Linked DNA regions of Oryctolagus cuniculus. The protein of the gene in region 1 interacts with the protein of each later gene in a pairwise test. Links are inferred from orthologs where the notes say so. Each region holds a gene or a part of one and is shown in the gene's direction. Other genes may lie near its edges.

Evidence for each region.
Region 2: the proteins of KASH5 (region 1) and GOSR2 interact in binary tests that used the Homo sapiens proteins (3 or more experiments, as listed by UniProt). The two-hybrid records come from large-scale screens. The link is inferred for Oryctolagus cuniculus from reciprocal best matches to the Homo sapiens genes KASH5 and GOSR2.
Region 3: the proteins of KASH5 (region 1) and JAGN1 interact in binary tests that used the Homo sapiens proteins (3 or more experiments, as listed by UniProt). The two-hybrid records come from large-scale screens. The link is inferred for Oryctolagus cuniculus from reciprocal best matches to the Homo sapiens genes KASH5 and JAGN1.
Region 4: the proteins of KASH5 (region 1) and NRIP3 interact in binary tests that used the Homo sapiens proteins (3 or more experiments, as listed by UniProt). The two-hybrid records come from large-scale screens. The link is inferred for Oryctolagus cuniculus from reciprocal best matches to the Homo sapiens genes KASH5 and NRIP3.
Region 5: the proteins of KASH5 (region 1) and CDC73 interact in binary tests that used the Homo sapiens proteins (3 or more experiments, as listed by UniProt). The two-hybrid records come from large-scale screens. The link is inferred for Oryctolagus cuniculus from reciprocal best matches to the Homo sapiens genes KASH5 and CDC73.
Region 6: the proteins of KASH5 (region 1) and BAG5 interact in binary tests that used the Homo sapiens proteins (3 or more experiments, as listed by UniProt). The two-hybrid records come from large-scale screens. The link is inferred for Oryctolagus cuniculus from reciprocal best matches to the Homo sapiens genes KASH5 and BAG5.
Region 7: the proteins of KASH5 (region 1) and RNF146 interact in binary tests that used the Homo sapiens proteins (3 or more experiments, as listed by UniProt). The two-hybrid records come from large-scale screens. The link is inferred for Oryctolagus cuniculus from reciprocal best matches to the Homo sapiens genes KASH5 and RNF146.

The regions. Positions count from the first base shown.
Region 1 is NC_091449.1:8,012,000-8,016,170, reverse strand, and holds the start of KASH5 (protein KASH5), read left to right. Parts: upstream 1-1,371; 5' UTR 1,372-1,754; intron 1,755-1,797; exon of another isoform or gene 1,798-1,962; intron 1,963-3,703; 5' UTR 3,704-3,795; coding exon 3,796-3,838; intron 3,839-4,171. UniProt on the Homo sapiens protein: As a component of the LINC (LInker of Nucleoskeleton and Cytoskeleton) complex, involved in the connection between the nuclear lamina and the cytoskeleton.
Region 2 is NC_091448.1:17,823,574-17,827,700, forward strand, and holds the start of GOSR2 (Golgi SNAP receptor complex member 2), read left to right. Parts: upstream 1-1,327; 5' UTR 1,328-2,593; coding exon 2,594-2,622; intron 2,623-4,127. UniProt on the Homo sapiens protein: Involved in transport of proteins from the cis/medial-Golgi to the trans-Golgi network.
Region 3 is NC_091441.1:116,853,426-116,857,504, reverse strand, and holds the start of JAGN1 (protein jagunal homolog 1), read left to right. Parts: upstream 1-1,279; 5' UTR 1,280-1,421; coding exon 1,422-1,510; intron 1,511-3,023; coding exon 3,024-3,486; 3' UTR 3,487-4,079. UniProt on the Homo sapiens protein: Endoplasmic reticulum transmembrane protein involved in vesicle-mediated transport, which is required for neutrophil function.
Region 4 is NC_091432.1:57,211,001-57,215,097, forward strand, and holds the start of NRIP3 (nuclear receptor-interacting protein 3), read left to right. Parts: upstream 1-1,297; 5' UTR 1,298-1,396; coding exon 1,397-1,570; intron 1,571-4,097.
Region 5 is NC_091444.1:9,863,496-9,866,995, forward strand, and holds part of CDC73 (parafibromin), read left to right. Parts: intron 1-1,553; coding exon 1,554-1,770; intron 1,771-3,500.
Region 6 is NC_091451.1:46,388,092-46,392,241, reverse strand, and holds the start of BAG5 (BAG family molecular chaperone regulator 5), read left to right. Parts: upstream 1-1,350; 5' UTR 1,351-1,486; intron 1,487-1,551; coding exon of another isoform or gene 1,552-1,674; exon of another isoform or gene 1,675-1,743; intron 1,744-1,775; exon of another isoform or gene 1,776-2,052; intron 2,053-2,345; exon of another isoform or gene 2,346-2,487; intron 2,488-2,767; 5' UTR 2,768-2,792; coding exon 2,793-4,136; 3' UTR 4,137-4,150. UniProt on the Homo sapiens protein: Co-chaperone for HSP/HSP70 proteins. It functions as a nucleotide-exchange factor promoting the release of ADP from HSP70, thereby activating HSP70-mediated protein refolding.
Region 7 is NC_091436.1:42,374,779-42,378,942, reverse strand, and holds the start of RNF146 (E3 ubiquitin-protein ligase RNF146), read left to right. Parts: upstream 1-1,364; 5' UTR 1,365-1,504; intron 1,505-2,589; exon of another isoform or gene 2,590-2,728; intron 2,729-4,164. UniProt on the Homo sapiens protein: E3 ubiquitin-protein ligase that specifically binds poly-ADP-ribosylated (PARsylated) proteins and mediates their ubiquitination and subsequent degradation. May regulate many important biological processes, such as cell survival and DNA damage response.

The DNA.
Region 1 (4,171 bases):
CCTGGAAGAGGGGCAACCAGGACAGAATCCGGCGCCCCGACCGGGACTAGAACCTGGTGTGCCGGCGCCGCAAGGCGGAGGATTAGCCCAGTGAGCTGCGGTGCCAGCCTAATAAATAAATCTTAAAACATAATTTTTAAAATAAAATAAAATCTGTAAGTATATAAAAAGGTACAGAAAAAGACAGAGAGAGCGAGCTTCCCCAATGCCCACAATAGCCAGGGCTGGGCCAGGCTGGAGCCAGGAACCAGGAACTCACTGCAGGTACCCCACTTGGTTGGCGTGGACTCAGCTACCCGCCGCCTCCCAGGGTGCGTGTTAGCAGGAAGACGGATCAGCGGCACAGTAGCTGGGACTCAAGGCAGGCACTCCGATAGGGGGTGAGGGTGTCCCAAGGAGTGACTGTGCAAATGCCCACCCCAGAAGAACGGACTATTGATACAGCTAAGGGGGCCACCACCATGCCAGTCTGCAGTAAGAAAAAACACATGCTTATTGTAAACATTATTTGTCCCAATTTATAGAAGCCGAGGTTCAGAGAGGTGAAGTCATTTGCCAAGACCACACAGCAATGGCTGGAGGTTTATCTGATCCCTTGTCTCGTGCACTTCACCACTCCTCATACCACCTGCCAAACAGACTCCTCCCAGCCTTGTAACAAGCCCTTTCTATTCATCAAAATAATAACCACCAGTTAACACAGAACTCCCAGGAGCTCTGGATTGCCACCCAAGGTGCCATCAACGCAACTCCATTCTGGGAGGAAAATTGAGTGGCAGGTGGGTCACTCTGCAAAGGTCATAGATAGGAAGCATTGGAGCCAAAATTCAGATCCAGGAATGCCGGACTGCGTCACTCCACATGCATGCATTCATTCATTCAACAATTTTTATTTTATTTGAAAGGCAGAGGGAGAGACGGAGACGTCGTCCATCCGCTGGTTCACTCCCCAAATGGCAGCAACTGCCTGGCCGAGCCAGGCTGAACCTGAAGCCTGGAACTGCGTCGGGTCTCCCACATTCCCAGGGGCATCAGCAGGGAGCTGGATCTGAAGCGGCGGCGCAGCCAGGACTGCAGTAGGCGCTTGGATAGGGGTGCCCGTGTCCCAGGCTGCGGCTCAACCTGCTGTGCCAGCACCGCCATTTTTCTTTGTAAGGTGGAGGGCGCCAGGGGTGCAGAGCGAGGCCTCTCTGAAGCGACAGCTGGGCGAAACGATGGTCGGATGAGCGACGGCGTGCAGAAGAGGGGTTCCTCCCTGCTCTGGACTGGCCGAGAGGCTGCACAGGTGGGATATCCTTTGCCTCCAGGCTCCTTCTTGGGAGTAACTAGTCTCTCCAGCAAGAAAAGTCAAGAGTATGCTTAACTCCATCCTCTCCAAAAAGGAATGAATGAGACGGTTAGGAAAAGAAGCCTTCAGGGACCTACAGAAACACAGCGCGACTTGAGCCACGAAAGGGCGCGGAGTGAGAGGGTTGGGGTGAGATGGGCCAGCCATCATTGTGACGGCGCCGACGCCAGGCCGCCTGGCACGAACAGAGGGCAGAAAGGGCACAGCTTGGCGGCTCAGACCGACTTTTCCCTGCTCGGCCCTATTTCATCAACGCTCGGAGCCAACCAGGAGGGACCCGGCGTGCCCGCCCTACAGCCACCAGCGCTAAACCCTGCAGCGGGCCAAGCCACCCTGCCAGCGCGCATGCGCTCGCTCCACAGGGCCGCCGGGGCAGCCCTGCGCATGCGCGACCTCGCCCGCACAGGTAACTGCCCGGAGAGGCGCGCGCCTCCCCCCTGCGCGCATGCGCCGCGGGCGGGGGCGGGGCGGGGCGGGGCCTGGGCGCGCGCGAGCGCCCCCTGGGCGCAGCCCGTGTGCTCGCTGTTCTGTGGCGGGCGACGCCGGCGCACCCCTTTCCCGCGGTTCGTGCTGGTGACCGTCGGCGGCGCCCTGAGGCTGGAAGAGGACTCCAGGTGCGCCCTGCTTGTGTGGAGATGCCCACAGTAGCCCTGCGGAGCCCCTCCCCGAACCCGCCAGTACCCGGACCTTCCCCGTCCCACTTGAAATCCTGACCAAGACCCACTAGGACATCTTGCGAGGGACGCCTAACAGCCTGTCCGAATCTTCTAGAAGTTCCGTCAGACTTGGCCCTCCGAACCTGTCAGAGCCTCCCTGTCAAAATCCTGTTAGAGGCCGCCGTCGCCCCGGAGTCCTCTCAAGCGCACCCCAAATTCTAGCCCGCGAAGCTGCTCCCAGCTCACAGGGCCACACCTCCCCACCTTTGCACCCCCAACTCCCTGACCCACCCCTACCCCCGTGCTGTGAGCCAAGCCCCTGGCAGAGGCTCCCCCTCCGCGCCACCTTTTCCAGAACCTTCTTAAACCGCAGAGGAGGCTGGGAAGGGGAGGGGAAAGACAGGGGGCCTCTCTCCAGCCGGAATCCGGGCGGTGGGCACGGGGCTCGGGGGCTTTGTCCAGGAAGGGTCCTGGAGTTTGCACGGTAAGGGCGGAGGTGGCAGCCAGAGCTGGGAGGCCCTCGAGGGCCCGTGGCCTCCGGGAAGCCTCCCCTGACCCCGAGCGGTAAGCAGAAGGCCTGGGCTGTGTGTCCGGGCCTCGGAGGACCGTGGGTCACCCCGAGTGGAAACCTGGGGGAGCAGCTGGCTTGCACGTAGTGACGCTGAGGGACCCCGAGGCTCGGCTGAGAAAGGTCAAGGGCACGGGGTCCCCCGGAGCCGTGAAGTCACCGTGTCCCAGAGCGGAGGTCGGTCTGGTCCTGGGCTCAGGCTCCTGACTCGGTGCAGACCCTGGGAGGCGGGGGCGGGGGGGGGGGGCACCCAGCGTCAGCCCTGCCGGCCCTGGCCGTCGCAGGCATCTGGGAGCTGAACCAGCGCGTGGGAGGGGGCTCTCCCTTTTGGCCCCACCCCCAGCTCCAGCACACACCCACACTATCGACTTTAGAGGAGGAAAAACGAGTTGAGGAGATGGAATAACCACTCCGTGCGGCTCCAGCCAAGGGGCTACCAGCCAGTGCAGGGGTCCAGGGAGCCCCGGAAGGGCTGAGGCAGGGGAAAGAGGGCCCAAAGGCGCGGGAGAGGCCGGCGGTGCCACACAAGCCAGCACGTGCGTGGCAAGGTGTCAGCTGCACAGGGCCATGTGGGAACCCAGACGCAGCACCTGGCTCAGCCTGGGGTGGAGACCGGACACGGTTTCCAGAGGGCACAAGGGAGCCAACGCAGGAAGGCGAGGCGGGCGTCCCAGGCAGAGGCTCGGCCGTGAGGACAGCTGGGCCGGGAGGGGGGTAAGCAGGGCCTTGTCACCAAGTCCAGCCAGGCTCCGGCCCAGGGTGCTGACGGGCGTGGAAGGCGTCGGTTCGGGGAGGAACGGGTCAGCTCTGGGGCTCTGTGGGGCCGGATTGGTTGGCTGGGGGATGGGGGATGAGTCCAGGCAGGGCAGAGGTGTGGAGAGAAGGGATAGGACTGGGGACTTGGCCGCACAGGGGTCTCCCCAAGGGGAGGCTGGGACCCCCACCCGCGAGGCCCCTTTGATCTCTGCCGCCCACGTGTTGCCAGCCCACACCACCAGTTCATAAAACAGGTTGGAGCTGGAGCCGTGGGTAAAGGCGGGGGTGGCAAACAGGTTCTGAGGACGTGGAGTGGCCCGCGGCGCAGGTGCCTGGTGTCGCTCTGAGAAGGCTTTGCCCTGCTTGTCCCTCCAGGAGCGCTCAGCTGCTAGGCCCCATCCTCTCCCTCCCGGCGAGGGAGGGGGCTGCTAGCTTCTCCAGCAGCCGTGGAGTAGCCAGGGAGGCCCATGGACCTGCCGGAGAGCCGGGCTGGTGGCCCTGCAGCACAAAGTAGGTGGCTGGGCCCCTTTCCGCGCCAGGGGAGCTGGGGGTGAAGGGGCACCAGGCCGAGACTCGGATTTGGGAGCGGTGGCTTGGGGTACCTGAACCTCCACACAGATGTAGGGTGGGAGGAAGGGAGCAGTGATGGACCGAGCGCCTCCCGTGAGCCCGCCCACCGGTCTGTATCCCTGGGGTGTGTGCACTGGGGAGGCCAGCTGTCGCCTGTGCCTGTGCTGAGCCCTGGCCAAGAATGCCCTCCCGGTCCCCGCAGCTCCCCGCCTCCCACGCCCATGGCCACCCTGCTGCCACCGCCAAACCTTAGGGGAAACAGCCGTCTGTCAG
Region 2 (4,127 bases), on another chromosome or scaffold:
TGTACTCCCGCCTTTGCATTGTGCCTGCAATCAGCCCGAGCTCACGGAATGCAGGATGACGAGGCCAGGGGCCTCTGCTGAGCCGAGAAACGACTCCAGGAGAATGGAGAGGAGGAAGGCCTTAAGGAGACGTCAGCCTCCGCACACGGGAAGCCCTGACACTGAGAGGCAGGCAGAGATCTCAATCACAGACGAACTGTGAGGCCCACAGAAAGCAAGGCACGGCTTAGACATTTAAAAAATCAATCCAACCTCTGGTCACTGTTAGCTACCTCTAGAATAAAAAACATCTAAGTCAGACGTTTTTCTCAACCAATACTGTTACTGCCCTCCCATTCCCTCAACCCACCCACAGCGACCCAGGTTAGTATCACCTGTTTGCTTAGACCGGCTATTCCCTCAGTCACAAACGCCTCCCCCTTCCCTCCCCCAGGCCAATACAAGGAATGGGTGTGCTTACAGAGTGGTTAGTATATGCAAGACACTGCCAAAACTGACTTAGGGGCTGGTGCCGGGGCACAGTGGGCACAGCTGCTGCCTGCAGTGCCTGCATCCCATATGGGTGCCGGTTCGAGTCCCGGTTGCTCCACTTCTGATCCTGCTCTCTTCTCTGCTATGGCCTGGGAAAGCAGTGGAAGATGGCCCAGGTGCTTGGGCCCCTGCACTTGTGTGGGAGACCCGGAAGAAGCTCCTGGCTCCTGGCTTTGGATCAGCACAGCTCTGGCTGATGTGGTCACCGGGGGAGTGAACCAGGGAGTGGCAGACCTCTCTTTCTCTGCCTCTCCTTCTCTGACTCTTTCAAATAAATAAATCTTTAAAAAAAATTGTATTTTTTTTTGAGGGCCCTATTCACATACTATTTAGTCCATGAAGTTGTCTTGCTCTTCCCTAGGGAAATGGTGCTTTGTAACATCCCTACTTGTTTGTTAACACAGTGTGAGGGTATGATTAGCCCTGGCAACAGACTGTGAGACAGATTTTTTTTTTTTTTTTTTTTTTTTTTTTTTGACAGGCAGAGTGGACAGTGAGAGAGAGAGACAGAGAGAAAGGTCTTCCTTTGCCGTTGGTTCACCCTCCAATGGCCGCCGCACCGCGCTGATCCGATGGCAGGAGCCAGGAGCCAGGTGCTTTTCCTGGTCTCCCATGGGGTGCAGGGCCCAAGCACCCGGGCCATCCTCCACTGCACTCCCGGGCCACAGCAGAGGGCTGGCCTGGAAGAGGGGCAACCGGGACAGAATCCGGTGCCCCGACCGGGACTAGAACCCGGTGTGCCGGCGCCGCAAGGTGGAGGATTAGCCTATTGAGCCGCGGCGCTGGCCGATTTTTTTAAAACATTTATTTTTTTTTTTTTCTTTATTTGAAAGGAAGAAGCAGAGAGGGGGGGGGGGGCGGAATTTTCCATCTGCTGGTTCACTCCCCAAATAGCCACAGGGCTGGGCAGGGGCTGGGCCAGGCCAGAGTCAGGAGCCCAGAGCTTCTTCCAGGTCTCCCACATGGGTGCAGGGACCCAAGGACTTGGGCCATCCTCAGCTGCTTACCCAGGCCATAGCAGAGAGCTGGATCGGAAGTGGAGCAGCTGGGCATTGGAGACTCAACCTGCTATGTCATGACGCCGGCCCCATATATAGGAGATTTGAGGGACTTCTTGCTATGTATCCTCAGTATCTGTCCATGGTACATCGTATGTGCTCATTAAATATTGAAGTAAGTGGAAAATTAACGTTAGGGGAACAATGTACATGACTGGGCAGTCTCTTGGGACACAAAACCGGGTGGGATCCAGGATACAGGAAAATAGATGCATCAACTTGTCAAAGGAAGAGGAACGTCCCCTCCCTTGGGAGGACCTCCAGATAAGCCTGGACGGATGGAAACGCTCAAGGTCTGTCCGAATTCTCCCAAGTCGCAAGGGCACCGTCTTTCCTGAATCTCCTGGAGGCGGCCCGCGCCCAGCTCGTCCTCCCTGGGGTTCTCCCCCTGTAGGGCGTTTGTCTGTATACATATTTTCTCCTCAGTCTCCATGTGGCATCACCCCGCATCACACACGACACACAATAATCACTCACTCAATGCGGGTCTACTGCATGCGTAAACAGGACAGGAGGAGAAGGGCGAAGGAGAGGGCAAATTTGAGAAAGAGGAGCTTGCGCCGCGGAAGCCAGTGACGAGTGAAACCTGCGGGCCCACAGCTACACGGTTTAAAGCGAAGGCAAGCAGGAGCCCTCGCGCCCCGGATCCCGCCCTTAGGCACGGGCATCCGCCGGCTCGCCTTCCACCTGGACCCGAGGGCCTCCCTGGGTACCCCGCGGCTGTCCTTCCCAATGCCTGACTCGATTCTGAAGCCAACCTTCCGCAAAAGCCTACGCGTCCTCGCCCGTTGCGTGAGGCCGAACCTCTCGCTACACTTGGCCCGACTCTGCCGATCTCGTTTCTTGTTCCCCTTCTCTAATCTCGCAACCACCGCCAACAAGGCGTGCCCGCGGGCGCCCTGGCCGGCTGTGCAGGGAGGTCCTGCGGCCGGAAGCCGGAAGCCGGAAGCCGGAAGGGGGCTGTGAGGACGTGTTCCCAGGAAGCCAGCGCTGAGGCCGGCGACATGGAGCCGCTATACCAGCAAACGCACAAGTGAGGGCCGCGTCGGGGGGCGGGCGGGTGTGGGGCCAGGAGAGGCCAGCCCCCGAGGCTGCGGGCTTGGGCTTCCGCCGCGGTGGACATGGAGTCCGCCGAGCGTGACTCGGAAGCGCAGTCCCGGGCGGGATGCCCAAGTCAGCCGCGAACTCGGGGTCCCTCCTGGAACCGGGAGCCGTGAGGGTGGACGGCTCCTGGGGTCTGCAAGCTCTGACTACCTGCTGGGTAGGCTGAGTGAAGGGAAAGTCGCACCTGCAGGTTTTAACACTTGCCACCGTGGCGCTCGTGGGGAGACAGTGAGGGGGTCACGACCCCTGCCCGTAGGAGTTCTGTTTGGGTTAGGGTCACCTGTGTTCAGGGCTCATAGAAAAAAAAGCATTTTTATTCCGGTGTGACTGAACTAAAGACCGCATTTTTAGTTAAGAAATTGCTGTAAAGTAGTTGTTATTGCTTGTTTGTCGTTTCTGGTTACGGGTTACCTTTAAGGAAATCGAATTTTGACTTAGCTTCCCATAACTTAAATTCGTTGGTAGTGTGCTGTATTCACATTGTTCTGCATTTTGGGGGGACTTGCCGAGATAGGTAGTTGGGGTTGGTAATAAGGGCCATACTTATTCTGGGTTTTTTTTTGGGGGGGGGGGCTTATGATCTATTTCTTATTGTGGTTAAAATGTAGCATAAAGCTTAACCAGTTTAGCCATTTTTCAGTGACGTTAAGTGTGCTCACAACTCACATCACCATTATCCATTTCTAGAAGGTTTTCATGATCCTGAACAGAAACTCTGCCTGTTAGGCAGTGACCCCCTGTTCCTCTCTTCCGGAGCCCCTCATTCAGTTCTGCTTTCTGTTTCTATGAATTTCCTATTCCAGACACCTCACCTATAAGGATTGCACGGTGTTTGTCCTTTGGTGTCTGACATATTTCACCTACCTACCGTGATGTTTTCAGAATTCATCCATCTTGTAGCATGTATCAGAATTTCACTTAAATTTTTCCCCAAGATTTCATTTGTTTTTACTTATTTGGAAGAGGGGGTGAAGAGAGAGCGCTCCCTTTCACTAGTTCATTCCCCAGTGTCCGCGCAGTGGGGCCTGGGCCAGTCGGCAGCCACGGGCCAGGAGCTCAGTCCACATCTTCTACAGGCCTGGCAAGGACCTCACTACTTGAGCCACCGCTGCTGCCTCCCAGGGCAGCTGGAATTGGGTGCGGGCATCCCAGGCAGGGTCTTCACAGCTGCACCAAATGCTGCCCCTCCTTTCTTTTTGCGTTTGAACACTGTTCCATTGTATGTGTAGACTACGTGTTGTTGCCGTCCATTCCTCTGCTGATGGACACTTGGGTTAGTGAGAATAATGCTGAAATGAACATGGAAGTGCAGGTGTCTTTTAGCCCTGGATTTTTATTTGCTGAAGTTTATATTTTGAGAACATTCACATTGATGCTCCAGTTCTGTTGTAAACACGGGGCCTGGGAATGAAGTGAAACATGCAGCCAGGCTCC
Region 3 (4,079 bases), on another chromosome or scaffold:
TGATGAAATCCAAGCGCTGACAGGGACAGACAGCAGAAGCCAGAGCCAGACAGGATGCTTCCCCGGGCTCAGTTGGAAGTCAGCAAACGTTTCCTGAACGCTGACAGCATGCCAGGCACTGTGCCTGCGCGGGGACAGACAGATCTGGCCCCTGACCTTTGAGGAATTCACATTCCAGGGAGGGAGGCAACGTAGGAGCAAGATTCTCAACACCTGCGAGTGGAGACGGACTCCACCTGTGCTCAATGGAGCGGGAAAGAAGCCTGCATTTGGCTACCTAAGAGATGCCTCATATGCTAAACTTCAGCACAAGGAGCGAAGTCAAATGACCTACAATACATAGGGGAAGTACATTGCAACTAATATTCCAGTGAAAAAATGTATCTGTCTTTCCCCTCTCATTCTCCCCTCCCTCTCTATCTATGTGAGGGTACTTCAAGAAGTTTCTGGACAATGAAATATAATTTTAAAGATTTTATTTATTTATTTGAGAGGAAGAGACAGAGAGGTCTCCCATCCGCTGGTTCAGTCCCCAAATGGCCACAACAGCTGGGGCTGAGCCGTTCCAAAGCCAAGAGCCAGGAGCTTCTTCCAGGTCTCCTATGTGGGTGCAGGGGCCCAAGGACTTGGGTCATCTGCTGCTGCTTTCCCAGGGCATAGCAGAGAGTGGGATCTGAAGTGGAGCAGCTGGGATTCGAACTGGTGCCCATATGGGTTGTGGGGACTGCAGGCAACAGCTTTATCCACTATGCCACAGCGCCGGCCCCTATACTACTTAATTAAAATTTTTATTCACTTTAAGGGGAGACAGAAAGAGATTCCATCCACTGGTAGTCTCCAAACGCCTCCAACAGCTGGGGCTGTATCAGGCGGAAGTCAGGGGCCAGGAAATCAATCTGGGTCTCCCACGTGGGTGCAGGGGCCCAAGCACTTGGACCATCTTCCACTGCTTTGCTAGGCCATAGCAGAGAGCGGGATCGGAAGTGGAGCAGCCGGGACTCGAACCGGCGTCTACATGCGATGTCCGCACTGCAGGCGGCAAGCCACAGCTCCAGCCCCTGCAATGATTACGTGGTCTCTGGAGGGAAACTTCTGAGACGGGAAGATGTGTGCTGGGAAAGGCATAAAGCCTTCCAGGAATCCAGCTCCCGGGCTCCGTGATGGGAATAGGGGCATCGGACTCACTTCCTGCGGCTCTGCTCGCGGGGCGGGGCACTACCCAGGGTTCCCGGCTCCTCCGTGGGGCCGGGGCCATAGAGACGGTCCTCCCAGCGTGGGCAGAGAGGCCGGAAGTGCCCGGCACTTCCGCCCGGCCGTTGTGTGGCTGCACCGAGGCGGCGACAGAGGGGCTGGCGGAACTGTTGGCGCGGGTGTCGCGGCGGCGGGCTGTGCTGTGGGCTCCAGGGTGCTGAGCAGGGACCATGGCGTCTCGGGCGGGCCCGCGAGCGGCCGGCACGGACGGCAGCGACTTTCAGCACCGGGAGCGCGTCGCCACGCACTACCAGATGAGGTACGGGTGAGGCGCGCGACGCCGGCGCCCCCGGGGTTGACAGCCCGGCCAGCCCCCGCCCGCCGGCCCGCCCGGTCCCCTCCTTCCGCGGCGGCCTCGGTCGCGTCCCCAGCCAACCCCGCGGAGCCCAGCGGCCCCCGCGAGCGCCGCCCCGTGGTCCGGCCCGAGTGGCGAGGGGGCTCGGGCCCCGCGTGGGCTCCGCGGTCGGAGCCACGGCTGCCGTCTCGCGTGTGTGACCTTGAGAACTTGGTTTTGTCGCCGAGCCTCAGGTTCCTCGCCCGTAGCGGGAGCAGATGGCCCGCGTGTGCGGTTTCGGTGGGGAGCTGGCGAGTGTTGGGGTGGTGGGCACCTGCCACATGGACTGTGGCCGTGGACCGGGCGGCGCGCGGGCGAGGCGTCTCCGTGTTCGTGCGGTCGCTGGCTTTCGCGTGGCGTGGAGGTGGGCGCCGGGGTGCGGTGGACCTGGCCGTCAGCTCTGGTCCTCGAAGTCCAAGAAGCCGGCGTTTTTCTCTGCTTCCCTACGGCATTTTAAAATAAAAATAGAGCGTAGATCTTTAAGGCCCCTGAGCTTTCTAGAATGTTCCTCGCAAGTGTTTTCCTAGACCGGCTTTTCTGAACGCCGAGTTCACGCCCGTCCTTAGGCCCCGCTGTGAGCGCGCGTTAGAACCCAGGCAGGGGTCTTCACTGTTGGGTCTCAGCGGCGGCTTTGCCCCTGGGGGTGCGGGCAGCTGCCTCTGCGGCCTGGAGGAATTGGGAGAATGGGGGAAACGTGTGCCTCCCCTGGCTGGAACGTCCACGCTGGCTGCAGACGTGTGGCAGGCCGGGCCGATGTCCTGGCCGGTGCCTCCTTCCAGCCTGCGGTGTGGCTCGGCCTTGCCCCCGCGCCTTCCTAGTCTCCGCAGCGGGCCCTGGCTCCGCTCAGCTGCTGACTTCCTGGAGCACCAGTGCGGACGGCCGGTACTTGAATGTCCGTGCCCGGGCGTGCAGGGCCCGTCTCCAGCATCCTTAGAGCCTGGCTGAAATGCCTCCCTCTGGACAGCCTTGTCCTACTCCTCGTCCCACACAGAGCTGTTCTGCCTTCCTGTGAGCCCATAGCTCATGGACCATATGAGAACTTTCTCACTTCACTTTTTTTTACATTTTTAAGATTTATTTATTTGAAAGGCAGAGTTAAGAGAGAGAGAGGTCTTCCATCCGCTGGTTCACTTCCCAAATGGCCGCAACGGCCCGAGCTGCGCCAATATGAAGCCAGGAGCTTCTTCCAGGTCTCCCACATGTGTGCAGGGGCCCAAGCCTTGGGCCATCTTCTGCTTTCCCAGGCCATAGCAGAGAGCTGGATCGGAAGTGGAGCAGCCGGGACTCGAACCAGCGCCCATGTGGGCTCCACAGCACCGGCCCCCGGGGTCTGTGTCTTACTCCCATTTCTATCATTATCCAGTACAGTCGCCTAGCGTGCAGGTGGTGGTCAGAAAAACGTGAGTGAAAGGTGCTCTCCCTGTGCTCTGCCCCACAGTGTGACCCTCAAGTATGAAATCAAGAAGCTGATCTACGTGCATCTGGTCTTGTGGCTGCTGCTGGTGGCCAAGATGAGCGTGGGACACCTGCGGCTGCTGTCGCATGACCAGGTGGCCATGCCCTACCAGTGGGAGTACCCGTATCTGCTGAGCGTCGTGCCCTCCCTCCTGGGCCTCCTCTCCTTCCCGCGCAACAACATCAGCTACCTCGTGCTCTCCATGATCAGCATGGGGCTCTTCTCCATCGCTCCCCTCATCTATGGCAGCATGGAGATGTTCCCCGCTGCCCAGCAGCTCTACCGCCACGGCAAAGCCTACCGCTTCCTCTTCGGGTTTTCTGCTGTCTCCGTCATGTACCTGGTGCTGGTGCTGGCGGTGCAAGTGCATGCGTGGCAGTTATACTACAGCAAGAAGCTCCTGGACGCCTGGTTCACCAGCACGCAAGAGAAGAAGCGTAAATGAAGCCTCCCCAGTGGACTCTGTGGGCGAGGCCTGGGCCTCCCTGGTGGACTCTGTGGGCGTGGCCTGGGCCTCCCTGGTGGACTCTCTGTGGGTGAGGCCTAGGCCTCCCTGGTGGACTCTCTGTGGGCGAGGCCTGGGCCTCCCTGGTGGACTGCTCTGTAGGCGTGGCCTGGGCCTCCCTGGTGGACTCTGTGGGCGTGGCCTGGGGTCCCTGATGGACTCTCTGTGGGTGAGGCCTGGGGTCCCTGATGGACTCTCTGTGGGTGAGGGGGGTCAAGGACCTGGTCTTAAGTGTCTTCTAGGAATTTGGCAGCTGTGGTGTTGGCACCTGAAGCCAGCGTGGTCCACATTCTGGAAAGCCGCTCCGGCTGACACCTGCTGAGGGGCCAAAGTAAATGTATTCCTGGTTGACTGGAGCTGAGTGACTGACAGCAGAGAAACCAATCTAAGCTGGGTCAGGTTATCCTTAGAAGACTGCGCCTTGCCTGCCCTTGTTCGTTCCCCCCGCCTCCATCCATCTCCCCATAGCCATCAAGACTGAGGGAGATGAAGCATAAATCCAGTTCCACTTCGGTCTAGGTCATGGGGCAGGA
Region 4 (4,097 bases), on another chromosome or scaffold:
AGGGCAGGCCATTTGGCCAGAGGGACCACGGCTCGCCCAGGGAACTAGAAGGCTCATGAGGCTAAGTACAGAGAGGAGGGGTAGGTGAGGCCACATCAAGCAAGAACGCGGGTCTTTCTCACCGTGGCCACCAAAGCCTTTGGAGGTGGTTGCTTGAGATGACTCTGGCAGAGAACAGGAGCCAAGCCCAGCCAGGGAGTCCTCAGGAAGCCCTCGAGCAGGTCTCAGCCATTCACCTGTAGACATGATAATGATAACAGTTCCTTCCTGAGCTGTCACCAGAGAGCAGAGAGCAGAGAGCAGAGGCTCCGAGCGTGTCCTCTGGTCCTCCTCGGAGTGCAGATCTCTCTGGCTCAAGCTGCTCCTGTGACGCGGGGTGGAGAGGGTACTTGCCATGTGTCCCCCAGGTGGAAACGTACCCTGGCTTGTATCCAGTCACAACGATGAGGTCAGAACCCATAAGAATGGCTTGAAAGTATGAGATCGATTCACGAAGAAATACGGGGGTCCAAATGCTCCCACAAGGATGCCGGGGAGACCGGTGGCAGACCCTCCGGAAGGTACGCCCTAGCGCTGGCTGAGAAACACTAGTGCTTCTCTGTGGATGCTCCCGGGAGGTGCAGGGCTCCGATCGCGTGCGTTCCGTGGAGGCGGGGACCCTCCCCAACACTGGGCCTCGCAGGGGTCCTGCTGAGGGCACAGGGTGTCAGGAAGAGGAGGGTCCCGAGAAAGCCGGCTCTGGCCAGTCCACACGAGCTGCCCTCTCTCCAGTCACGTGGTCCAGTGGGAGGGGACCGATCTGAAGTTGAAGAAATCCGAGCCCTCCCACCTTCGGAGCTTGCCGCTGGCCTTCCCGTGCCCTGGGCAGAGGGCGCCGGGAGCCCGGGAGGGGACGCGAAGGCCGAGGAGAGCCGCGGCGCGCGCGGCGGGGCGCCAGCATGGCCCAACTGTCCGTGGTCCCCGGGTCGGTCACAGTGTGGACAGGTGAGCGGGGGACCCCGGGGGGGGGGCGGTTAGCGTGGGAGAGGCTGCTCGCACCTTGGGTCCCACAGCCTGACCCCGTTCAGGTGATGCGGGGCACCCACCCGGAAAGGGGCGGTTGGGTGGCGCTTAGCACCTCAGGCAGCCTGAGCCGTCCCCTCCTAGCTCGCTTGACTCCGGGGCCGGCCGGCTCGGGACCCGACAAGCGGACGCTGGACTCCGGACAAGGCGGCGCGCCGGGCGGGGGCGCTGTGCCAGCTCCGCCCCTCCGGCGCGCGCACTGGCTGCTCCCCGTGACGTCACGCTCGGCTACAAAAAGCGCGGCGCGCGGCTCTCGCCTGCGCTGGAAGGAGCTCGAGGCTGAGGGCGCGGGGATCCGAGCGCGCCGGGGCCCCGGGGCCGCGGCGCCTCAACGATGTTTTACTCAGGGCTCCTCACCGAGGGTGGCCGCAAGGAGACCGACATGCGGGAGGCGGCGCCGCTGCGACAGCAGCGCCGGATGAAGCAGGCGGTGCAGTTCATCCACAAGGACTCGGCCGACCTGCTGCCGCTGGACGGCCTGAAGAAGCTGGGCTCGTCTAAGGACACGGTGAGCCCCCGCGGCCGCGCCCGCCTCGGGACCCCCGCTGCTGCCGTCCGCCGCGCGCCGTGCGGCCTCCCGGGTCCGAGCCTTGCCGCTTTCACTGAGTCAGCGGCCCGGCCCGCCGCTGCCCGCCGCCCCTGTGTCGCCCGGTCACGGCTCCTCTGCGTCCCGCACCCCCTGCTTGGGTCTCCCTCGGATCTCGTCGTGGTTTTCTTGGCTTACCCTAGCTCCCGCACCGCCTCTGCCCTGCCTGTCTCGCTCGGGTTGGAAAGGAGACCTTACCCTGCCCTCTTGCCCTCGGCTCTCCTTTCTTCCGATTTATTCTTAGCGCCTAATTGGGTTCCTCGCCGCAGACAGAGGCAGCTCCCCTCACCCAGACAGAGGCGACTCGTTATGGGCGTCTGAGGACGGGAGAGAAGTGGAAAGGGAGGCTTCACCTCCAGATGAGTGCGTGTTTGTTGGGTCTGTTGTCTCCCTATGCAAAATCTACTGTCTGGTTTTGGTCTGTCTGCCCTTGACCTTCCATTCTAAGCGAGGAGAAAGGAAAGGACGGATGAGGAGGTTTCCTGACTTCCAAACACCTCTTCAACACCCTCTTCTCTCCTCCGCCAGCCCCACCCACAAGGAGCAGGGACAGGGGAGGAAACCGGGCTACTCCGTCTGCCTGACCAGCTAGGAGATGGCGTTGGCGCTGGGGCTGGTGCAGTCTTGTTTTTTCTAGCATAATGGTTCTTAGCTTTAATTAGGAAGAACCCAGGACTTGGAGGGCCTGGATTCGAAGACCATACTGTCCTCTGCTATGGAATGCTCAGGAGAGATGCCCAAGGGCTACCAGAATAAAGACCTGTATCCGACTCGCATCTTTCTAGTCGCTGAAGTGGAGCTGGGCCAAATTGAAGTCCAGCATTGTAGTTAGATCTGGAGTTTCCTTGTGCTTTGATTGTTTTCTTGAATTTCACAGTCGCTTTATTCATCTGGGCAGCAATATATGAAACATTAATTACATGTCTTTTACAATTGAAATAAATGCTCTGCACACTTTTTCTAGTATTTTTTATTTAGAGCTTTTGGAATGTTTGATTTGGATATGGTTCACTGAAATTGCCATCCTGTCATCAGGATGTCCATTTTTTTTTTTTGATAGTTCCAATGGCATAGATACTAATATCAGATTTCCCCTCCCTGACATTACTTACACATGTGGGGGAGATAACTACTCCAGTTATCTTATTATGATTTTAAAAAATTACTTTTTTCTGCATAAGTCATAGTATAGTAGATCTGATTCATGCTACCCCACAGTGATGAATAATTGAAATGTATTCCTACAAAAGAGATGACTTTCTTTTCTCTCACTTTAAAGCAGTCCAAAGTCACTTGGAAAATCAGATCAAGTCTTCCCTTCTGTCCAAAATAATCCTATTTCCCGGGGTCTCAGGAATCAATAAAGAGGGAAGTATTAGGAGAATAATTAAAATGTGAACTTTTTTCATGCTAGATTTAAGATAGGGGCATTTGGTTGTCCTGGGTTGTTTAGGTGTTCCCTGGCCCTGAAGAGCTACTTCTCTATCCTTCTGCTTAGATACTTCAGGGGAGTTTATGCTGTGTAAGAATTCCATCTGCTTTTATGATCCCAGTCTGTCTCAGCTGAGCCACCAGGCTCTGATAGCATGGAGCGCAGGAGCAGTCTTCAGAAAGGAAGCATCTTCCAGATGTGGGCTATCACCATGAGAGTGACACACAGTAGTTGATTGTGAAAGACTGAACCCTGGTTTGCACTTTCTGTACCTCATTGGCATGGAGTTGATTTCCCTCTCTCACTGAGCCAGAATAGGTCACAGAAACCAAGGCAGACGGAGGTAGGGCTGGGAGAAGTACGAATGCTGGCGTGACGTAGTATGCTTTAAGCTCTCTTACAGCGGATATTGCAGCCTCAGTGCAATCTTAGAAATGACCTTGGAAGTACATTCTTAGCACTTCACTTTGTAAATCCATCTGGTATGATAGAGTAGTGTTGAATCCATTTTGTCTCACTAGAAGGGAAATTTAGAGGATGCTAAAATTGAGTAACTCCAAATAGTTTATAGTACAGTCTCAATAGAAGGGGGACAAGAAAAGAGAGGGGATGGGGGGAGAATAAGTTACTTTTAATTGACTCCTGGGGGCTGAGCCAATATGAAGCCCTGGGTTGTTTTTCCTCATACTAGTAGCCTGTATTTGAATTATACTGTTGCGTTTTCTGAATCAACTGCCTCATGCCATTCTGTTTCTACCATGTTCCCTGCTTGATGCCAGCCCGTCGGTCCTTTTTAGATGGGCAGGGGGCACTGGTAAGCAATCCAAGGTAGTCGTGTTCTCTTGGCCATTGTAAAGCACTTTTGCCCTATTCCCGTGTGTATAGAGTTGACTGCACAAAGTTTGGTGTAGAAATTAACCTTATTTTGTATAGCTGCCTCTCTTACTGTGTTTATCCTTTCATCTTATGTTTATGTTTATTCTATAAGATTAAGAACTTAACCAGAAATATGAGTAA
Region 5 (3,500 bases), on another chromosome or scaffold:
GGGGAATAATATGCTTTCTAATGCCCTGAGAATATGAGGCTTTTAATCTGGATGGTGGGAACAGGTACTGTTCTTCACTCTGTGTAAGCACTGGGCATTGTTCTCTTTAATTCCATTGGATGATTGATTCTTTACCCAGCTTTAAATGATTTCGTTATCTTCATGTACTAATTGGTATTCTACTGGAATACTCCAAGGAATCTGTGTAGCTCTCTTCTCATGTGTTTTGTCCTGTGAATTCTCGCCACCTTGGTCTTGCTGTCGCCCCAGCTGCATTCCCTCAAATCGGGAGTTCTCTGAGGTCTTTGTGGGCTCTCTTCTTAATGCCCTATCTCGGAAGCCACCAAGGGCTCACCTTGTTGGTTTCTCATTTGTCAGGAAATCACTGTTCTACACTGTTTGATAATCTAATATCCTTTAAACCTGGTGTCTTGTCATTTTCACTGGTAATTTAAGACAGGAAGGTTAATCCTGTCACTCTGTTTTAGTGTGGCTGGAAATAAAGTCCAGTGATACCAAGTCCAGTGCAGGCTTGATTATAGTTTAGAAGAGCATTTGAACTTGACTCTAGGTGCTTTAGATTTTAGGGGAATGTTGCACAGTGTCACACAAAATGAGTCAGATACCACCATACCCATATTGATCATCTGCTATAAAGTATCTTCATACCTAATCTGAATAAAATTAGTTTACTTTATAATACTGCTGTATTTAAACCTGCAGGAATTTCTGTCCTTTTTCCAGATTTTGTGTAAACATATTTCAAGATTTTCATCTTGTGGCTAAAGTAATATTTTTGTCTACTCTTAATAAGGTACTCAAACACTTTTTAATTCTTTTTATCTTATTATATAAAAAGACACTTTGCTTAAGATTCATCTTACAAAATCTGTACTTTAAGTATTAAGTCGCTTTTTATACATAGTTCTGAAAATATAGCCTGTCTCTCTTTGCTGTTTTGGCTATTTGAAAATCAGATGCAGGGAAGATAAAGTGTTCAAACTATGGTTTCTTCCAGAGTTTAAAAGGGGTATGTGTTTCTGTGGTATATAAAAGCCTTTGTCACCTATGTATATGTTGTACCCTGTGACATACGGTTTTGAAACCTTGAAATAAATTTCAAGAAAACCTATAATTTTGAAGTCTTTATATAATGAATTTCATACTCCTCTTCTGGGACCCTCTTAACAACTGGCCTCGATATGTATGTTTATTTTCTGTGAATAGATGTGGGTTAACTAACAAAGTCTCAAAAAATACAAAGAAAACACTCATGTTAATGAGTTACTGCTCTTTTGGAGGGAAATGATAAATATAAAGACATTTGTTGCATTGTTTCTTCTGGAATTTATTAATTTACTCACAGTAGTATATCTGCATGAACCTTCTTTATGTGTTAAAATCTTGTAAGAGTACAAAATATGTCATTTTTATAGAAAGAAGGCTTTAATTGTTGTTACTTAAAGTGTTTTTACTAGAAAATTGTAACAATGTATTTGTGATGTGCTCAAGGAATTCTTGCTTTGAAAATTTAAAAAGGAATTTGATTTTAGGTCTTTATCTGAAGCCATGTCAGTGGAAAAAATTGCTGCAATCAAAGCCAAAATTATGGCTAAGAAAAGATCTACTATCAAAACTGATCTAGATGATGACATCACTGCCCTCAAACAGAGGAGTTTTGTAGACGCCGAGGTAGATGTGACTCGAGATATTGTCAGCAGGGAGAGAGTGTGGAGGACACGAACAACGATTTTACAGAGCACGGGAAAGGTAATAGAGGTTACTCATTTCTTAGAGTGCCATGTCTGTGGTTAGTCTGTGATTGGTTATGGAATTGCTTAACATTTTTTATTAGAAGGAAGTTTGTAGTTTTCACTCTTCGAAAGAACAATAATAATACAGATTTCCAAGTGGTCATATTTGTCCTTGCATTCCTGAACGTGGCTGTCAGTCATTCAAGAAGTTGATAAAATCTGAATCAGAGCGCAAGCCTCTCCACATACCATTTGTAAATTAGAGTGACCCAGTTTTTTTTTGTTGTTGTTGTTGTTGTTGAAACCTCATGTCTTGGGCCGGCGCCGCAGCTCACTAGGCTAATTATCCTCCGTCTTGCGGCGCCGGCACACCGGGTTCTAGTCCCGGTCGGGGCGCCGGATTCTGTCCCAGTTGCCCCTCTTCCAGGCCAGCTCTCTGCTGTGGCCAGGGAGTGCAGTGGAGGATGGCCCAGGTGCTTGGCCTCTGCACCCCATGAGAGACCAGGAGAAGCACCTGGCTCCTGCCTTTGGATCAGTGCAGCGCGCTGGTCACAGCAAACCGGCTGCGAGGGTGAACCAACGGCAAAGGAAGACCTTTCTCTCTGTCTCTCTCTCTCTCACTGTCCACTCTGCCTGTCCAAAAAAAAAAAAAAGAAACCTCATAACCTCATGTCTGGAGGGTTTTATGGCAAGCTCTTTGGTCATCAGAGCTGATATCATGAATTTTTTCTACATAAAGTAGAGAATCAGTCAGCAGACATTTATTGAGTATATTTTATACTTTATTGTGGATGTAGGACTTTCTATTTTTTTGCTTCTTCACTATGGGAGCTATTTTGTTGTTTTTGCTCCAAGACTGTGGGGTTTTCCTCTCTCTCTTTGTCCGCTGCCTCTTTTCTTCCTTGGTTCCCTCCCACTTCCTCCCCTTTGATTTTTCCTTCCTCCTCCTTCCTTCCCTTTCACTATTACAAATAATGCTTTAAAAGACATTCTTACACATATATAACTTTGTTCAGTTATGTGACTAGTAAAGGATTAAAATGAATTTCTGGTTAAAGGAGATGTGCAGTTTAAGAAAATTTTTTTATTTGAAAGGCAGAGTTTTAGGGAGTGACACAGAGAGACTGATTGATTGATCTCCAATCCCTGGTTTATTACCCAAATGGCCACAGCAGCCAGGGCTGTGCCAGGCGAAAGTCAGGAGCTTCATCCGGGTCTCCCATGTAGGCCACAGGGGCACAAACTCTTTCCCAGGTGCATTGACAGGGAGCCAGCTTGAAGTGGAGCAGCTGGAATTCACACCAGTGCTCATATGGGATGTTGCTGTTTCAGGCGGAGGCTTACCCCACTGCTCCACAGCACTGGCCCTGAGATGTACACTTCAGACCTTGAAAGATAACATGAATTTCTGCAAAGGAAACATTGATTCTGTCTCATGTGTATATTTTCATCAGTCTTTCCTGTTCTACACCTCAGTTTTCTGTTAAACGTTCATTATCCTCTGATGTACGGTTGTTAAATGATCTAATTAAGAATATTTGAAGAATCATGGCAATTAGTGATGAGCTTCACTGTTCATCACTTCAGCATTCTTCTAGGCAGATTGATTTTGATTGTAGAATTTTGAGATTTTAGTCTGAAATTTACTCTGACATTGTAAGAATAAAGCTACTAGAGAAGAGTGTTTAAAAAATGATTTATTTTTGGAGGGAAGGGTAGCCCACATTGTAGCTTAGTAGGCTAAGC
Region 6 (4,150 bases), on another chromosome or scaffold:
GAGAGATGTGGACACATAGGAGAGACGTACTCACCCTGGAAGGCGCCCTCGGGAACACCCGACCTGGGGCGCCCGCAGCAGGCCCAGCACACACGACTGCCCTGGGCAACAGCGGCTCCCCAGCTCCCTCCAACACCCGGCAGCACGGACACTCGGACCCCGAGCACACGGCGGGGGTCACAATGCTGGACGCGGCCAAGCGGCTCCGGCTCTGCCCTGCCTCTTCCGGAGAGCACCGGACCACACGGCCCCAGACGGCCCTGGACCACACGGCCCTGCACGCCACTGGACCACGCGGGCCCTGCACGCCACTGGACCACGCGGGCCCGCACAGGACACGACCACACGACCCGCACAGGACCAGACCACACAGCCCCAGACGGCCCCGGACCACACAGCCCCAGACGGCCCTGGACCACACGGCCCTGCACAGCACCGGACCACACGGCCCTGCACGCCACTGGATCACACGGGCCCGCACAGCCCCTGACCACACGGCCCGCACAGCCCCTGACCACACGGGCCCGCACAGCCCCTGACCACACGGCCCGCACAGACCGGACCACACAGCCCCGCACAGCCCCTGACCACACGGCCCGCACAGACCGGACCACACAGCCCCGCACAGCCCCTGACCACACGGCCCGCACAGACCGGACCACACAGCCCCACACAGCCCCTGACCACACGGCCCGCACAGACCGGACCACACGGCCCGCACAGCCCCTGACCACACGGCCCTGCACGCCACTGGACCACACAGTCCCAGACGGCCCCGGACCACACGGCCCTGCACAGCCCCTGACCACACGGCCCGCACAGGACCTGACCACACAGCCCGCACAGCCCCTGACCACACGGCCCGCACAGGACCTGACCACACGGCCCGCACAGCCCCTGCGCGGGTCCGGTTCTCCAGCAAGCAGCCTGCGGGACCTGTTGCGGCGCTGGCACCGGCGCCCAAACCGGCCGCGGAAACGCCGCACCCCGCGCAACCCTCTCGTTGCTACACGGCTGCCCCCGCCAGCGCCTTTCAGAGGCTGAATCCTCCCCAGACACCCGCGAGCCTGGTGGGTGTGCGCGCGTGGGAGCGGAAGTCGGGGCGGCGGCCGCACGAAAACCCGCAGGCCCAAAGTGTCGCAACGGCCAGCGGGCTCCCTCTCGTCGCTCCGTAACCACTGCCGGGCCCGGCTCCGCGCCGGCCTCACCGCCCCTCTCGTCGCTCCGTAACCACTGCCGGGCCCGGCTCCGCGCCGGCCTCACCGCCCCTCTCGTCGCTCCGTAACCACTGCCCGGCCCGGCTCCGCGCCGGCCTCACCGCCCCTCTCCTCGCTCCGTAACCACTGCCCGGCCCGGCTCCGCGCCGGCCTCACCGCCCCGGCCCGCCAGCGCCTGAGGACAAGCACGGCCGGCCGCACGCCGCGGCCGCAGCCACTCGCCGAGCCCCTCCGGGCGCTTCTGGAACTCGCCCTCGGGCAAACACCAGGTCCGTGCACCGCGGCGGTGGGCGCCAGACCGGGGGCGGCCCGGCAGCCCCGGCAGCGCGCTTACCCCGCTCGGCGCTGCTTCCCTGCGCTCCGCACCGCGCTCCGGGGCCCGCCGCCCGCCGCCGCCCGCGAAGGCCCGGCAGAGGGGCGGGACGAGGGTCCGCGGCGCCCGCCGCACCGCCGCCATGGGGCCGCGCCCACCTTGCTCCCGCGGCACCCGGCGGCGTTCGCGACGGCGAGCGGGGCTGCCTTACGGCAGGGTCGCAAAGCCGGCGGGCGCGCCGCGGAGGGGCCGACCGCGCGCTTTTCCCGCGGTGACACGGCTCGCGGAGGGGGTCTGTGGGGACGGGGCGGCGCGGAGGAGGCCTGCCGGGACCGGGCAGCGCGGGCGAACGCCGGCGACAGTTCCCCGATCCCTGTCGTCCCAGAGGCCCGGGGCGCGGCTCGAGGTGAGGCGCGGGCGCGGAGCCGTCTTTTCCCAGGGCTTGGGGGTGGTCGGCCCCGGACGGGGGCGCCGCGGGCTCTGCGGAAGTCGTGGGCGGCAGCGGAGCGCGTGATGGCGCGGGTGAGTGGTGCGGGGGCGCCGGCGATCGCGTCTGCTCTCTCCGCGCGCGCGCCGGCGCGGGGCTCCGCCGGGCCACCCTGCTCCCCCCCACGGGCTCCCACGCGGCCGCGCCTGGCCGGGTTCCCCGCCGGGCTGGGCCCCGCTCCGCGCCCCTCCCGCCCGTCCTCGCGGGGCGCCCGGGCCTCGGCCTCCCCCGCGCGCCCATTGTGAGGTCAGGGCCGGCGGCGAGCCGGGGGCCCGGGGCCGAGACGCCCGGAGCGGCCGCTGCGGCCAGTAGCTGCCGCCGCCGCCGGCCCCTTCACCGGCCGCCCCGTCCAGACCGAGCCGGGGGGCTGAAGGGGATGCCGTTAGGGGCCCGGCCCCGCCGCCGCACCCGGTGAAGGGCTGATCTTCCACCTCGCCGCCGCGCCTCCGGGGAGCCGGGACCTCCGCCGGGTAAAGTGCGAGAGGGAGGGAGGCCCGGGCCCGCGGCGGCGCCCGCGGGCCCTCGTGGGAGGCAGTGCAGGCAGAGTGGGCGCTGTCCCGGGCGGGGAGCCCCGGCGGAGCTTGGGGCCCCGTCGCGGGGCCTGTCCCGCATTCTGCTGGCCCGGGCGTGCCCTGCGGGCTGTTCTGTGCCGCGGGCCGGGCGGCCCCTCGGGCTGGCCCTGGGCCTGCCGGCCGGGGTCCGCGGACCTGCCGGCGGCCGCTCTGAATGAGCTCTCTTGTCGCCCCGCAGCGCTCGTGAGCCCAGGCAGCGGAGCATGGACATGGGAAACCAGCACCCGGCCATCAGCAGGCTGCAGGAGATCCAGCGGGAGGTGAAGGCCGTGGAGCCGCAGGTGCTGGGCTTCAGCGGGCTGGCGGACGACAAGGCCTACCGGAGGCTGGAGCGCATGCTCACGCGGCAGCTGTTCGAGATCGACTCCGTGGACACCGAGGGCAGGGGGGACGTCCAGCAGGCGCGGAAGCGGGCGGCGCAGGAGACGGAGCGGCTGCTCAAGGAGCTGGAGCAGAACGCCAGCCACCCGCGCCGCCTGGAGATCCGGAACCTGTTCCGCGAGGCGCAGGCGCTGGCGCAGGACGAGATCGCGCCCTTGCACAGCGGGGGAGGCTGCGCCGCGGACGAGGTGGAGGAGCGCCTGCAGGACATCGTGCTGCGGCTGACGCACGTCAAGACCGGCGGCAAGGTCTCGCTGCGCAAAGCCCGCTACCGCGCGCTGAGCAGGGTGTGCGCCGTGCAGGAGATCCTGGAGGACTGCCTGCGGAAGCAGCCGTCGCTGCCGCTGTCCGAGGACGCGCACCCGTGCGTCGCCAGGATCAACGCCGTGATGTGCACGGTGAGCAAGGCCCGCGGCACGGTGGTCGCGCTGCTGATGGGCGTGTGCGCCGACGAGACCTGCCGGCACCTGTCCTGCGTGCTCTCGGGGCTGCTGGCCGACCTGGACGCGCTGGACGTGGCCGGGCACCCGGACATCAGGAACTACCGGAGGGAGGTGGTGGAGGACATCCACAAGCTGCTCAAGTACCTGGAGCTGGAGGAGGAGGCGGACACGACCCGCGCCTTCGACCTGGGCCAGAACCAGTCCATCCTCGAGATAGAGAAGGTGCGCGCCAGGACGCGGGAGGTCAGGGCCGAGCTTCTGCGCGCGCAGAGCCCGGCCGAGCTGTACCTGAGCTCCAAGACGGAGCTGCAGGGCCTCATCGGGCAGCTGGACGAGGTGAGCCTGGAGAAGAACCCCTGCATCCGGGAGGCGCGCAGACGGGCGGTGATCGAGGTGCAGACGCTGGTCACCTACGTGGACCTGAAGGAGGCGCTGGAGAAGAGGAAGCAGAGCGTGGGCGCCGAGCACCCGTCCCACCAGGCCGTCTGGAGCGTCCTGGGGAACCTGTCGGAGATCCAGGGGGAGGTCCTGTCCTTCGACGGCAATCGCAGCGACAAGAACTACATCCGGCTGGAGGAGCTGCTCACCAAGCAGCTGCTGGCCCTGGACGCGGTCGACCCGCAGGGCGAGGAGAAGTGCAAGGCCGCGCGCAAGCAGGCCGTGAAGCTGGCGCAAAACATCCTCAGCTACCTGGACCTCAAGTCGGACGAGTGGGAGTACTGACCGCGAGTGGGCAC
Region 7 (4,164 bases), on another chromosome or scaffold:
ATCCATTTCCTAATTAATAATATGAAGAACTGGAGTAGCTGAACTCTATTGTAGCCTCCCACTGAAGTTAAATCCCAGATGGGTGCCTGTTTCTGTAAAATGAAATAATAATAGTAGCTACCTCATGGTTTACTGTCAGGATTAAATGAGGTTATATATGTAAAGCACATTAACTACCAATTGTTAGTTAATATTAGAATTCTCTCTTCAAGCAGAAATCTTAAAGTACATTATCTGTTCATGGGTTGTGTAGGATAGAGGAGTAAAACCGGGTGGCTAAGAAGGTAGAGAATTAAAGTTGGAGGACATTGACTTCATTAGTATTCTATACTAGTTCGTCGAAATGGCATTAAAAGAAAAGTGATTTTTTTCCATGTACCTTTTGAATGCCCCTCACCCATGATTAGGATCCCAAAATAAACTATTTCAGGGGAATAACGGAAAATGTACAGCTTTCTATATGTATCAAGACATGGAAGATTTCCAATCTTGCACCCACTAATCTCAAAAATGCAACATCACTGAAAGACATTGCAGTGGAAGGTTGAAATATATACTCAAGATAAAGGACACGTTTTCCCCTCCTGTTCGTTCGTTTTACCACATATCAAGCTCATTTAGTCAGTTTCGGAAAAACGCAATGTAGGTGCTAAAACGGAGAACACGGCCAGTGTTTTGAAGTTTAAAACCACATGCTCGCATTCATTTTGCCCGTTTAATTTCAGATTCTTGCGAAGATTAATTTCTTCCTCTGGCGTCTTAGCTCGATTCTATTAAGAAGCATTGGTCCAAAACATGGTTATAATCCATTTTTTCCCCTCTGCATAAACTGCCCAGCCATTCAGAAGGTTTTATTTCTTGAGAGAACAAGCGGTACTTTCAGAAGGGGTCTTCAACCCAGAGCTCAGCTAGGCGCCCCAGGGCTTCTCTGGGGTCTTAAATTGGATTTTTGAATAGCACCACCTGCTGGTAGTGCCCGCGTCTTACTTCCCCTACGCAATATCTCTCCCTTGAGGATCTGCACGCTTTCAGGGCTCCTTGCCCTTAATACGAGTAAGGCAAAACCTAAGAGATCAGGAGCATCCAAGCAGCTGGACGGCGGGTTCCCGCAAGTGGAGAGGGCGGGTACCGGCGGCGCGCTCGAGGGCGGGGCCTGGGCCCGCGGCGGGAGGCTCGGGCGCGAGCTCTGCGAGCGCGAGGCGCGACTTCCGGCCCGCGCGGCCCCGCCCCCGCGACGCGCCGGGCGGTCACGTGACGGTCGCGCGCGTCCCCGGCCGCTGCGGGCTCCGAGGCCGAAGAGAAAAGACGGCGAGGTGGCCGGGGCTGTGGCCGGAGAGGAGGGAGTCGAGGCGCCGCCCTCGCGGAGGTCACGGCGAAGGCCCGCTGCTCCGGGATCCAAACTCGGGGGGAAGAGGCACGACTCGCGGTGCCTCCGGCAGGCTCGACGCGCCCCGGTCGGCCTGCTGTCGGGCCCGGAGAGGGGCGGCGGCGGGGTCAGGGCCCGGTACGTAGATGGACGCCCTTGGCCGGCTCGGTAGCTGCTGTGGCCGGGAGGCGGGAGGGGCCCTGCGGCCTCCCTGCCGCCCCCGCTCAGGCTGTTGTCGCAGGCACGAAGACTGTGACGGCCTCTGCATGGCCGCTTGGCCGCAGCCCCTGCGGTGGCGATGCCGGAGCTGGCCTGGGCCGAGGTGCGAGAGGCAGGGCAGCGGCCATTACTGCGCAGCCTCTTCGACCGGGTCCGCGTCGCCGTCTTTGGTGGCCGCCGGGTCCTTCTCCTCTTCCTCGGCCGTGGGGTCAGGCCTCTGCCGAGGGACCTGCTGGCCTCAAGGTGCAGGGACCCAGATGCTTTAGGGGTTACCTGTTCCCCGTGTGGAGTCAGAGACTTTGGGCCTGGGGTCCGATGCAAGCTAGGACATGGAGTGCCCGCGTTTTGTGTGATCCCGAGCGCCTTGGGCTGCTGTTTTTTCTCTCTCTCTCTCCCCACCACTGCTGCTTCTGCTTAGCGTCTGGGTCTTGCCTCATTGAAGGGAGCAGCTGCCCCACCTTGTCCTGGCGAGACTCAGCGCTGCACATTCACGGTTGTCTGGACGGCTGTGGACTCTTGGGGACCGCGAGAGAGCTCCGAGAGCCTCGGAGCCTGCCCGACCTCCCTGCGGCTTCTCGGCGGAGGTGGTTGCTTTGTTCTGGTTGCCGGGTGCGGAGGTCCCTCCCTGCTGTCCAGTTGGTCCGAGAGTGCTGGTCTTTCTTGCCTTCTGGTCGCTATTTTGTTTTCTGAGAGGCTGCAGCATTGCTTTTTGAGGGTGTGGAGAGGGCACCGTCCTTTCCCGCAGGGAGTAACTCCAGGATTAAGTTTATACACACACATGTTGGCAACTAGATTCGCTTTTTTTTTTTTTTTTTTTCATGTTCATCATTTCCGTCCCTGTTTTTATATTTCTCTTGTCCGAGTGCCATTTTAGTGAGCCCTTCTTTCTCAAGTTTGGGACGTCTTGTTTCCTGTTGGTTTATATTGAAACTGTGGAACTGAGGGGAGAAGAAAACCAAGAAAGGATAGAAAACGCTTTGTTCTTCCTGTGATTGACATTTCAGGTGCCAGGGACCCCGCAACTCCCCAACCCCCACCGGACCCCGTACGTGTAGTGTACACTTTTAAGTGGGAAGTGGATGTATAACGTTGGCACTGAAAGCAGTATATAATTACAGATTTTGGAAGACCTTGGACATTTTAGTAAGTGCATCTATATTTAGACTTTTGAATAAGCATGTTAGGACACACACAGAAAATGACCCCCACAGATAGGATTTGTGATGTTGAGTTTGTTGTTTTTTTGACTAGCAGATATTTGTGTTCAGAGTCTGGGTGCTGTGAAAACGCATGAAAATAGTTCAAGTAAACCTCATTTTAAAGAGAAAACTTGAAGAGTGAATAGCACTCTAAAAATAGATTTTGATCATGTTTGTTTTGGCCTTGTGTATCTTAAAGTGGACCATTTTAAGTCCTATTTTTGGTTTATAGTTTAAGTGTCAAATGAGCTAATGTAATGTAAGTTGGGACAAAATGAAAATAATGGCGCTTAAACATTTGAAGATTTTTTTGTGATTTGTCTGTTAAGAGGCTGACAAGGAAACTTTCTCCAAATAGCCAGTCATCAGGCAAGATGAAAAAAAAGGTGGTATTTTTTCTTTAGGAGTTAGGTCAACTGGCAAAATGTTTTTTTTTAGTTTCTGCCAACTTGAGTTGTCAGACGAAAGGAGGCAGATTTTTTTTTTAAAGGATCAAGAATAATTTCTTGACTTAGATATTATTGATTTTTTCCAAAACATTGATCTGGTTGAAGAATATAGTTTTATGTGTTAAGGATATACTGGTATTAAATACCTGACACACTGTCAGTTGAGAATTTGAGTGTGTTTTGTTGTTGTTTGGTTGTTTTTCTCTAGTACTAGTAATAGAAAGTACTGAGCCTTTGGCATTTTCTTGCCTAGTTTGATTGCCTTGTGACTTGAGGAATCTGAATTTTTAAACATGCTGGATTAGTTTGACTCTACAAACCTACTTGTTAAAACTAGGCTACAGCCACCTGTGTTTGCTTATAAATTCTTATGTAGTACTCACGGCCTATATTATCTTTGCGTTAATAAAAATAAAACCTATTGCTAAATGCCTGTTAATTAAAGATTTAAAATTTGGAATTACAGAATAGAGGAATCTGGTAAAAGACATGAGAATCATGACTTGACAAGGTCACACAGATAATTAGCAAGAGTCTTTGTTATTTGCAAAGTGGTTGCTTGCCATGATACTTACATGTGTTAATTAAAGTCAGTTTTTGTTCACATTTTATTTAAATGAAATGCAAAACCTACTTTCTCTAGGGAGGATTTAAAGTTGTAATGCTTATGTGTGAAGATTGTGAAGTCAGTAAATAGATTGCCATACAGTAGTATTTTTAAAAGGAGTGATACATAATAAGAGAAATAATTCTTTAAAATAAATTGTTGGACCTCATTTGTTTCAAATAAGTTTAAATTTTTCCAATTATGACCTTTAGGACTTGATTTTTTTTTTTTTTAATAGAGTTAGTGAGAGAGAGACAGAGAGAAAGGTCTTCCTTCCATTGGTTCACTCCCCAAATGGAAGCCATGGCCTGGCGCGCTGCGCCT